3 linked regions of the Solanum lycopersicum genome follow. Each later gene encodes a partner of the first gene's protein in a complex. Links are inferred from orthologs where the notes say so. Each region holds a gene or a part of one and is shown in the gene's direction. Other genes may lie near its edges.

What was found. The genes of interacting proteins can lie anywhere in the genome.
Region 2: the proteins of protein TOO MANY MOUTHS (region 1) and protein EPIDERMAL PATTERNING FACTOR 2 are in contact, whole or in part, in a crystal structure (PDB 5XKJ), measured with the Arabidopsis thaliana proteins. The link is inferred for Solanum lycopersicum from reciprocal best matches to the Arabidopsis thaliana genes TMM and EPF2. Residues at the interface, in NP_178125.1 of Arabidopsis thaliana: Trp73, Ile77, Pro78, Arg82, Gly83, Arg84, Trp85, His86, Gly87, Ile88, Glu89, Met91, Val101, Asp110, Asp111, Thr112, Ala113, Lys135; in NP_564442.1 of Arabidopsis thaliana: Asp75, Tyr78, Ala79, Gly81, Ile104, Arg106, Arg112, Tyr113, Tyr114, His115, Val116, Pro117, Ser118, Arg119.
Region 3: the proteins of protein TOO MANY MOUTHS (region 1) and protein EPIDERMAL PATTERNING FACTOR 1 are in contact, whole or in part, in a crystal structure (PDB 5XJO), measured with the Arabidopsis thaliana proteins. The link is inferred for Solanum lycopersicum from reciprocal best matches to the Arabidopsis thaliana genes TMM and EPF1. Residues at the interface, in NP_178125.1 of Arabidopsis thaliana: Trp73, Ile77, Pro78, Arg82, Gly83, Arg84, Trp85, His86, Tyr98, Asp111, Thr112, Ala113; in NP_179684.1 of Arabidopsis thaliana: Arg56, Asp59, His62, Ala63, Gly65, Ser66, Lys93, Pro102, Val103, Pro104.

The regions. Positions count from the first base shown.
Region 1 is NC_090811.1:60,150,812-60,154,528, reverse strand, and holds protein TOO MANY MOUTHS, read left to right. Parts: upstream 1-1,370; 5' UTR 1,371-1,577; coding exon 1,578-3,017; 3' UTR 3,018-3,122; downstream 3,123-3,717. UniProt on the Arabidopsis thaliana protein: Promotes cell fate progression in stomatal development. In leaves, needed to correctly orient spacing divisions, to limit the number of asymmetric divisions in neighbor cells, and to promote the asymmetric (amplifying) divisions of meristemoids.
Region 2 is NC_090803.1:61,264,816-61,269,260, reverse strand, and holds the start of protein EPIDERMAL PATTERNING FACTOR 2, read left to right. Parts: upstream 1-1,535; coding exon 1,536-1,626; intron 1,627-4,445. Other genes in the region: transcription termination factor MTERF5, chloroplastic-like, read left to right, coding at 232-1,389. UniProt on the Arabidopsis thaliana protein: Controls stomatal patterning. Regulates the number of cells that enter, and remain in, the stomatal lineage by inhibiting protodermal cells from adopting the meristemoid mother cell (MMC) fate in a non-cell-autonomous manner.
Region 3 is NC_090811.1:4,045,826-4,049,385, forward strand, and holds protein EPIDERMAL PATTERNING FACTOR 1, read left to right. Parts: upstream 1-1,541; 5' UTR 1,542-1,654; coding exon 1,655-1,760; intron 1,761-2,563; coding exon 2,564-2,769; 3' UTR 2,770-2,950; downstream 2,951-3,560. UniProt on the Arabidopsis thaliana protein: Controls stomatal patterning. Regulates asymmetric cell division during guard cell differentiation. Mediates stomatal development inhibition. Not cleaved by the protease CRSP (AC Q9LNU1).

The DNA.
Region 1 (3,717 bases):
TAAATTACTCGACATAAACTTAAAATGTCGTAAAATAAAATTTAAATATAAAAAATTGAATAACCAGCATTTGTATGAATGACTTGACAAGGGATTAAGTTCACAAATGGCGTTAAAAAAGAATGGTCTTGATTATTTATTTTTTTAATCATGCTTAACGGATTTAATATAAATAGTCTTCGCTTGAAAAAGATATCCACTAGACAATGTTTGGGGAAGTTGTTGTGGACATAAATTAGTTGTCTCTCGAAAATTTAAGATATTTTAAGACAGTGAACCTGCTCAATCAATTACAAATTCTTTTTTATAAGCAAAAGCTATAATTTATTTATAATATAAGCAACATAAAATCTTCCTAGCCAATTATTTTAAATTAAAAATATTTTCTAAAAAATCTATTAAGCAAAGATCAAAATTTAAGATCAAACACTTTTAGAAACACCAGGCGTTAAGTGTGCATATGGTTAGGTTGGTATGAATTTTTTAAATATTAAATCAAATCATTTGTATGGAATTTTTAAATATATGAACCAAACCAAACCAATAAAATACGAGTTTTTATACTTTGGATTTTTTCGGGTTTTTTGAATCATTCGGGTTTTTTCGGGTTTTCCGCTAAAATATTAATTCAAACATATAATTTATTTTGCATGTCAAATGTTTCTTCAACTCAAACAAAAATACAACTATCTAAGATGTTTCTTAAGAATATAACACAAATAATGATATGATTAATGACACTAAAATATCCAAACATATATATATATAATGAAATCGCGTAAAAAATTACAAATCGACAAGTCATAATGAAAATGATCATAATTTAAAAGTACTAAATCATGTTAAAATAAGTTTAATAAGTATTAGTTACATGGCTAAATATTAAAGGAAATAAAAATTAGATTATGTATTTAAATTATCTAACCAATGTAAAATCAAAGAACAAATATTCTATATTATTGTCATTCTTAGGTTAAATTGTTTTTCTCTTTTGATTATTATTAATTTGATTTTGATTTAAGTTTTAGTATAATTACCAATATCGACTATACCATCCAAAATTCTAAGTTTTAAATTTAAAATAATATATTAAAAGATTAAAAACTATGAAAAAGTATAAAAAAATATTTAAAAATTATATCAAAATAAATAATTTATGTATAAAATAAAATTTTAAAATCATTTTATAATATCGAATTCTTTTTTTTTATATAGTTAAAATTCAATTTTTTATTCAATTTTATACGCACTTACCACACGTCATTTTGAGTTGAGGGTTCGGCCCAAAATCTGATTCTTTAATGGAGCCCAAGCAAGCCTACTTGTATGTGGGCCTAAATTAACTGAGGCTCAAACCCCGTGATAGTAATAAATGTTCATTAACCACATAAACTCATGCATTTATTTCATCTCCTCCTCATACTCGTGAATACATTATTATCCTACTTTAATTTATGCACCCACCCATTTTCATTCACTTGTCACACTCCCCAACCTGGTCATTGTCATAAATATTTGTGTTATAAAACACCCCCTAAAAATACAACCAAGTTTGTCACTTCATTCATATTCCAAAAATGGCCCTTTTTCTCTCAATACAAATACCTCTACTACTACTATCTTTTTTCTTCTTTCCTCTAGGGTTGTCATTCACCGTCATAATGTCGGACTCCGGTGCTCTAGTCGATGCTCCACAAACCGGCTTCTCGATGAATAACAATCGTGCACGAACCGATCCTCGTGAGCAAGAAGCCGTTTACGACATTATGAGGGCTACGGGGAACGATTGGGCCATCGATATCCCTGATGTTTGTCGTGGTCGATGGCATGGTATTGAGTGCATGCCGGATAATGACAATGTGTACCACGTTGTCTCACTTTCCTTCGGTGCATTGTCCGATGACACAGCGTTTCCTACGTGCGACTCGACTCATTCCTTCATTTCACCTTCGGTTAGAAAACTTCCGCACCTTCGGATTTTGTTCTTCTATCGTTGCTTTAGTAACAATCCTCAGCCCATTCCAGGATTTTTAGCCCAATTACGGCCCACTTTGCAAACACTAGTGTTAAGGGAAAATGGGTTCACAGGGCCCATTCCTAATGAACTGGGTAACCTAACCCGTTTGAGAGTTCTGGATCTTCACAAAAACAATCTTGATGGTTCAATACCCATCTCTCTGGGTCGGATCACCGGTTTGAGGTCATTAGATTTGAGTGACAACAAACTAACCGGTTCTATTCCGAGTTTAACTTTCCCTCAGTTGAATATCTTGGACCTCAACCAAAATCACCTTACGAGTTCAATTCCATCCACACTCATGAGCTGTCATTCGCTTATAAAGCTTGACCTAAGCCGTAATCGCCTCTCTGGTTCAATACCTGACTCGATCCACCACTTAAACAATCTCATCCTTTTGGATTTAAGCTACAATAGCCTAACAAGCCCATTCCCAATGTCGCTCAAGAAATTGAATTCTCTACAGACCTTAGTCCTGAATGGAAATCCAATGGACTCAGCTACTCTACCGGACAACACATTCGATGGTTTCAACAGCTTAATGATTTTAGGGTTATCAAACATGAATCTTCAAGGGCCAATGCCAAATTCACTAGGCCGATTACCTAAGCTACGAGTCCTCCATCTCGACGGGAACAAGTTAAATAGCTCGATCCCATCGAGTTTTGGTAATTTAAGAAACATAAGTGAGCTTAGGCTAAATAATAACATGTTGAGTGGTCCTATTCCATTTAAAAGAGACATGGTTTGGAGAATGAGAAGGAAAATGAAGCTTTCAAATAATGATGGGCTTTGTTACAACAAAGAAAATGGGCTTGGAGATGATTTAGAGACATTGTTGGATTCAGGGATCGGACATTGTGGGGACTCTAAAACAGTGCCAATAAAAACAGTACAACACATTTCAACACTCAACAGATCAAATAGCAACAAATTATTATCGTCTCTTGGATGCTTCCTTTGGTCAGCTTTAGTTTTTGTTCTAGTTTGTCTGTTGTGAGTAGTTGTTTACAGATTTTGGTACAGTGCTTTTTTTTCCCTTTCTGTTTTTAAATGTAACTAAGCATATATAATACATAAATGTACTTTTTAATTTGATTATAAACTTTAATTTTGGATGTGCACAAGACACAAATAGACATTTTAACTTGTATAGAGTTGAACAAGTACACACATGAGTCACAATACACATAGGACACCACATAAGATTCATGTACTATCTATTTCTTCAACTTTATTTAAATTAGTGTATACTTGTGTATATCTAAAGTAAGAGGATATAAATGTAAGTTGAAGTTAAGTTAAAGAATATATTTATATTTTATGTGTAGTATTAAATAAGAGTATGACTACTTTAATTTTCAGATTTTTTGAGCAACAACTTGAATGACAATTGTAAATATTTGTTCCAAGTTTTGAATTTAATTTTAACGACGTTACTAATGAAGTTGACACTACAGAACTAGTTGGAATTAAGATTTTTTTTTAATTACAAAGAGAATGTAACCTCTCATTTCCAATTATTTTCTAGGTTAATCCATCCCAAATGATGGAGTCAGTACTCCATTTTTTCTTATATTCTTTTATTATTACAATTTAGAAGTAGTTCTCGTTTGGATTGGCTTAAAAAAGAGTAGCTTTTGAGTTAAAAATAAAAAATAAGGGAAGATTTATTTTTGGTTTCTGACTTATTTTAAGTT
Region 2 (4,445 bases), on another chromosome or scaffold:
ATTTTTTTTAAAAATTAAAAATAATAAAAATAAATTTTAAACTAATTTTTTAAGTTCAGTTAAATAAAGGATATATGTGAATCATTTTATAACGACAGAATATATATGAACCGTTTGTATAACTCTAAATAACAAAGTTCGGTATATCAACCTTTTCCTTTTCTTTTTTTTACAAAGTAAAGTATACATAAACTTCCGTTGATTTGGTATACTCTTCAAATTGCAAAAGAAATGCTTATCAGAGCGAAAGCCATAGCTGTATTTACTCACAGCTCCATATTTCATTGCAATGGCTTTGGAGACCTCTTTTCCTCCTTCAATTTCAGATATCAGTATCTCTACTCAACAACCGCAGCTCCTGCCCCAACCCATTTCTTGGTTAAATACCTTGTTGATTCTCTCGGATTCTCCAATGAAGAAGCTGCATCTACATCCTCCAAGGTAACTTCACGTAAAAACTTAAAGAATCCTGATTTAGTCATCAATTTCTTGAAACAAACTGGATTCGACAACACCCAGATGAAAACAATGGTTTCTAGTGTTCCCAAATTACTATTTCGTGATGTTTCCAAAACCCTAAAACCCAAATTTCAGTGCCTTATGGATCTGGGATTATCCGGGTCGGACCTGGTGGATGTAATTGCTAAAGATTCACAAATTGTTGATAGAGGTTTAGATACTCATTTGAGACCTACCATTGATCTCCTGAGGAGGGTTTTGGGTAGTAACGAAAATGTAGTTAAGGCGTTAAGGAGATTTCCTTGGCTGCTTTCTTTTCGTGCTCATCATACTATTGAGACTAATATATTGTTGTTGAAAAACTATGGTGTTCCTGATGAGAGAATTAAAAAACTCATGCTTAGAAATCCCAGTTATTTTGCTCAAAATCCTGAGAGGATTAAAAGTTTGTTGCATAGGATGGAGAACGATTTTCGAGTCCCACGGGATTCCTCTAGTTTTCTTTATGGATGTCAAGTGTTAAACTCATTAAACAAGTCTAAGTTGGAAAAGAAATTTGGAATCTTTAGGAGTTTTGGATGGTCTGATGATGATATACTCAAGATGTTCAGGAAGCTACCTTTTTGTGTTGGCCTCTCGGAAGTTAGAATTCATAAAGCACTGAATCTTTTCATGAAGGAACTTGGTATTGGAACTGCTTACTTGGTTTCTCATCCTGCAATATTGGTCTTCAGTATGGAAAAAAGGGTGGTACCTCGGATGCAAGTATTGGATATTTTGGACGAAAAGAAGGTTGAGAGGAGAAAGTTGGATCTCTATTATGCTCTGAGCTTAAATGAGACAAGATTCATAGATTATTTTGTGCAGCCCTACAAGGATCAGATGCCTGATTTGTATGAACAGCTCAAGAAAATTGTGGCTCCTTTATAGATTTTGTTTATTTTTGACACCAAAAGGTGCTGAGATCTTTCTCAGTTTTCAGTTCTAGTTCATTACATGTATTGCTTTTCTGTTTTCAGTTTGTATTCTGAAAACACAGTCAGTGTTGACGAGAAGTCTGAACTGCTGTAGGCTATATGCAAAAATCAATCTTGCAATTTGAAGCTGATTGGATTCGACAGATCTTGTTGATAACTAATTCCGTTTGGCAGTTACCGTTACAATCAGGTTTGTTCCATAAGACATGAGTGAGTCAAATACTTCTGTGACAACATTGGTTTATCTGATGTAAGGTCCTGATGTTCTTCTATTCTCTCTGAATTTGATCCTATAAAATTTTGCATTGAGTTATTTGCTAGTCTATCCATTTGTAAGAACTTGATGGTTAGTTAGTTCGTTAGGTCCTTCCTTTTACTAATGATTAACGTCTAAAGAATATTTTCTTGTACCTTATCCTAGACGTTAAAGCTTTAGTCTTTGTCATATAAAGAATGTGAAGTTGAACATTCTTTTTCCTTTCATACTTTCTAGTCCTTGAAATGATCGATTTAACTCTTATTTAGTCTTGGAAGCTAATTAGTTGGGAAGTTTAATTTGAGTTGGGAGAATCACAACCTCTATGGTTTGAGGTATCTGTCTGAAATGGAGATCAAAATCAGGGAAACTATAGTGTTTTTTCTCTCTCGTGACAATGGTGTTTGAGCAAGCTGAAGATCTATCCAAAACAACCTCAGTACCTGCTTAGGTAGGGGTAACGTCTGCGTATTATACTAGGTATGCTGTTGTTGGTATTTAGGTAAGCTTGCCATAACTTCAACTGTTTATATATATATATATATATATATATATATTAATAATAATAATGGCTAATTTAGACAAAAAAATTCATTGCTGGCAGAGTTGGAATTAGGATTAGAAATTTATGAATTATATCTATCTGTTTTAAATTGTCGGATCTTAAGTAATAATCAGTACATATCAAATCAGTTTCTTACCATTAGTCAATCACACTTTGTCCAAAAAAATTTCTAGCCTTTATTGCACAATTTACATTTTAAATAGGTTGATTTTTACTTTTTTTTTTGCCTCAGCAATCGATCTTATTTTTAGTAGTGCGTAAGTTTTTTAAGAATACACTTACGTAACTCTTGAAATATTAAAAGCTAAAATGAAAATATAAATTTATGCTCCACGAAAAAATTATTTGATGACCCGTTTTTCTACTTTGAAACAAGTTTGGAATAATGGTGTAAAGTGTAAACCTGTTTTTCTACTTTAGCTAGCGTTTGGCCATAGATTTTCAAATATTTTTGACAAATATTATTTGAGAAAATTTGGTGAAATTTTACCATGTGTTTGGCATAGGATTTGGAAATTATATTTCACCTTTTTAGAAAAATATGATTTATACCCATAAGTTTTAAAAACTATCAAAACTAACTATAGGTTTGTATTACAAGTCAATTGGATGTTCGTTACAACAATAACAATAGTGTCCATGACACTAGAGCAATGCTGTAATTTAGAGTGAGTGCAACAAACATCATTCCATACATCGTAAAGTATACAAAACACGTGATTTTGTTACCTTGAGCCAATTTTTCATCATTTTCATCAACAATCAAATCATTATTTAATATTCAGTAAATATTTCATCACTATTTTGGTTTTCCACGTAAAAGATTATGTAATACAACGCAAGCAACTACTATAGAGGGTGTTTTTGTAAAAGATAAAAGTTTGAGGTAAGAATTTAATTTTCAAAAGATCCAAAATAATGAGATTTGGCCCAAATATTAGAAAAAAACTTGTATTTGAGAATTTGGGATATTTGCCAAAAATATTTGCCAAATAATGGCAAATTGTATGGACAAACATTATTTGCCATTTTTTTCCAAATATTATTTGGGAAATCTCATTGCTTATGTGTTATTTTCTTTGTTCTTTTTTATTTGTCGTCCTTATTAAAAATAGATAGTTTTTAATATTTATCATTTCACAAAATTATAATGATAATATTGTTCTTATTTTACCCTTTGAAAGTTATTAGCCTTGAAGCTATACATTTGCCCATATATAGAAAACTTAAATAATTAATCTATTTTCATTGGTCAAATTAGTTAATTAAAGTAAATTACTCCTTCGTTTGAAAACTTGACTTCAAGATAACACTAAATGAGAGTACAATAGTAATTTCACTCAACATTTTAAGAGACGAGAAATCTAAAATGATGACATATAAATAGGAACGGAGAGAGTATGTACAAAGAAAACATTCTAATTATTTCTTATAGTGATAATTAAAATTTTTTATCTATCATGTTCCATGCATATTGGATATTTTATGATGGTTGGTATTGAGAATTACGTTATAGATACTTCATTAACACATATTTATACTTAGAAAGAAAAAAAAAAACTTGTCTCTCTACATACATTTCTTGTTTTACATTACTACTTTAAGCTACTTCTTTTTATAATATTATGAGCTTAATTTTGTCAAATTAATTGTTACTCGACTCGACTTGTTTGGTATTTTTTTCTCTCTCTTGTAATATAATCTCAAAGAGATTCAAAATTGAAAAATTGTACTTGGTATAGATTTATTCTTGCAGGTGCAGTAAATTAATAAGACATGAAACATGGGAGGAGGGAAAATATACATTAATTAAAGGCATGCATGAAAAAGAAAATTTATAAATGCTCAAACTTCATTTATTCCAAAGTTCAGACCTTCACGTTTTACCAGACCCTTTCTTCAATGATCTTCTATTTGTGTCTTTTGCCTTATACTAACTTTGACGAAACATAAAAATTGTGAATATAAATACAGAGTAGTTAAATTAGGTTTTAGACTTAATTCACACCCTAAAAGATAGATCTAAGGGAGAAAGACAGTCCAAACCTTATAAAGAGTCCATTCATTGCTTAACATATGGTGCATGAACAATTTTGATATTGGAGACCCCATCATCGGGTGAGACGGATCCTGCTCTGATACTATGTTAAATTATATTTTAGGCCTAACTCACACTCCAAAAATTAGC
Region 3 (3,560 bases), about 56 Mb from region 1:
AGTAACAATAGTGAAATACATTTTATATGTGCACTTAGTAAGTGTAAGTAGCTTCTCATATAAAACATATTTGTTTAATCATATCCATTCAGATAATAAATATATTCGTATAATTTATATCTTTTACATGCTTTTTAAAAAAAATCATAAACAAGAGGAAAAATTAAAATAATTTACCATTTATCTACTACTCTGAAACAAACTTTTTAAAACTTATTAACTTATTTGAACTCTCAAAACAATTAAAAGTGAATAGAAGATAGTAATATTTTTTTTCTAAAACATCAAGTAAATATTTATATATAATCAAGTGAACAACATATATAAAACGAATATATATATATATATATATATATATATATATATATATATATATATAACTTCAAACTATCGTTAAATAGATAATATAGAACCTCAGTTTGATGTGTCAAAGCAATTCAATTAACTTGTTAAAACATGTGAAAATATTCACATGGGGTATGAACATTTTATCAATTTAAGTAATCATAAAAGAATACTCTAATATTTAATAAAAGTAATAAATACATCACATGCAATAGAAATCACATTTTGGAGTTTTTCTTTAATTTTGTGTGAGTAAAAACAAACATTTATAGCAGTCACATTTGAGTACACTAAGCTCATAAATTTACTATATTTACTTTTCATCTTTGAGATCATGTTACCATAATTTTTACCAATATAATATTTATTATAATATATGCTTTCTTCATTTAAAGCTGGTCCATGAAAATTGACAAACCTACTTCAATTCACCATTCAAATTTTCACGTTAAAACAACATTTTTTTTTTGGTCATAGTAAATCTTTGTACCATAAATTAATCACCATACTTCACAAAAAAAAAAATTAAGAAATATTCTCTTTGTCTAATTAATTATAAAATTAAGATAATATTAATTAATATTTCTCATTTTTCCCTTAGAATTAATTAAAAAGATATGAATTAATCGCATAATATTTGTACGATCAAATCATTTAAAATATAATTACAACTATATTTGTTTAATAAAAGCATTGTCCGGGTAATCAAGTGGAATTAATAAGCTTATAACATATTAAATTACGTTCATAATGTAAGAAATTCATTACACTATCAATTACTATAATTTAATTTAGTCGAATAATAAAAAGTTTCCTTCTAAATTATGTTATTAGTGATCCGATTGAGTAAATATATATCTCTTGGACTGTACCCTTTTGGCAACAATAAATATATATATTAATAAAGAGTGTAAAAAATTTTATCGACATTAGTTAATTTTCATTGGATTCAGTGTCACTATTGACTTTTCGAGACATTTACAAAGAGTTCTAATTGGCGCTGAAAATATATATTTAGCAACAAGTAAGCTATTACCGTTAAAAATAGTTTTTTGATAAATGGAAGTGTGTCAAAGTGTGATTCACAGGGTTCTCAAGCCCTATGAGTGTAAATGTGCCTATTTCATGTGACCTAGCTTATTGTTATATCATCTCTCACTCTTGCCTGTGACTTGATTCAATTCTCACCTCTTTTAAATATCCATTCATTTCTTTCTTTTTTCCTTCAACAAAACATTATAATATCAAACAATAAATTAGGTGATCAAAGAGCTTAAGAAGAAGAAGAAAAAACAAAAACAAATTAAGGATGTATACAATGAGGAGTTTCAAGTATATTGCAATTATGATCATTGTTTTTCTTGTTTTCCTTCCAATTGTCATGAATGCAAGGCAAATTCCCAAGATTAACTCATGTATGATCAACTTCTTTCTTCCAACCATTTTATTTCTCGATTACTGAACTTGATAGTTATTATTTCAGAAAATCGTAATATATTTGTGAATATTTGAAGAATCAACTTTTTAGTTTTCTTTATCAACAAACAATTTTATAAACTTCATTGATGAATAATTACTTTTTCATTCAAATATGTATTTTATTTTACATGACACACTTTTCTTTGGTAGTTTATTGAAAACAAAATGTTATTTTTTTATACTTGCAAAGAATTCAAATGTTAAACTTTCATTTTACATTAGAATGAAATTTTTTTATAGTCACACAAATATTATAACATGTTTAAGATCACAAATTATAAGTCTTTGTTTTCATTAAATTGGTGCCCCATAAACTAAAATTCAATTCTTCTCATACAAACTGATATAAGTTAAACAACTTTTCTCATATTAATATAAGACTAAAAAAATAGTAGTACATCCATAAATATTAATCAGAGTTCACATAGTTTAACTATAAAAAACATGAAACGTGAAAAATATCTTATAAGGTGAATAGAGAGTTTGTTTCTAAGATTTTTATTCAACCTTTATTAGTAATACATTTACCGGTCTTCAAATATTTTAGTATAAAACTACTATGTCCATAATTAAAAATGACTAATAAAGTCCACCTACACTCTACCCTTTTCATACTTCACGATTTCTATTTATGTGATCACACTGAATATATTATTGTTATCGTAATATTCTTGCTTTCTCTTAATTACCACATAAACTTTGTGCTAATGATGCTCATTTTTTTTTTTAATTTTTTTAGATGAAAGACATATGGTCATGGCAAAAAGAGCATATACATTGCAAGTAGCAGGATCAAGATTACCAGATTGTTCTCATGCATGTGGATCATGTAAACCTTGTAGATTAGTGATGGTTAGTTTTGTTTGTTCATCATTAGAAGAAGCTGAGACTTGTCCTGTTGCTTACAAATGTATGTGCCATAACAAATCATACCCTGTACCTTAATTAATTAATCATTAGTTTTTTTTAAAAAAAAAAATAACTATATGTTAGTTATGTTATCAATTTTCCAACTAATATCATATATGTTACATATAGTACTTCTTAATATCCTTTAGTTCCCTAGTGTAGGGTCTAATTTGTAGGATCATTTCTCATATGTACTCAATGAGAGTTTCTTCTTTCATTTTTTTTAGTCGCAAGATACATCAATAATCTGTTAAATTTGTTAGTAAATTTCATTAGTTCTGATTAAGTATTTAAACATATGATTAAGTATTCTCTTACGAAATCTTGGAAAAGCTTCTCCACAATATATGTGTATTCTCAAGTACATGTTGCATAAATAAGTTAATTACTTAATTAATAAGTCGTAAAATCTCAAAGTTTGTTCCAATTGATTTGTACATCATGAACAATTAAAGGAAGAGACATATTTTGTGATTAACTTAATGTATCAAATTTCGCTCTCTCTCGCGCTTTATAAAAATATAAATTATACATTGTATTTTGTATAATCTGTGTTTGTATAAAGAGAGAAAGACAAAAAAGAACTGGGTGGGGGAATATTTATATTGTGTAATTATAAGTGTATAGAACGAATAGATATATATATTTGCATGTGTATATACAATTTTCTCTCGCTTTATAATAATAGAAACATAATTTATACATTTCTGATAATATAAAACGAGAGAGACGAGCGAACAAGAGAGGGAGAGTGAAGAGCGATAGTTTGAGGGAGAGAGGTGACTGACAAATACTTTGCTACAGAACTCAATTAAATCAAAGTATTT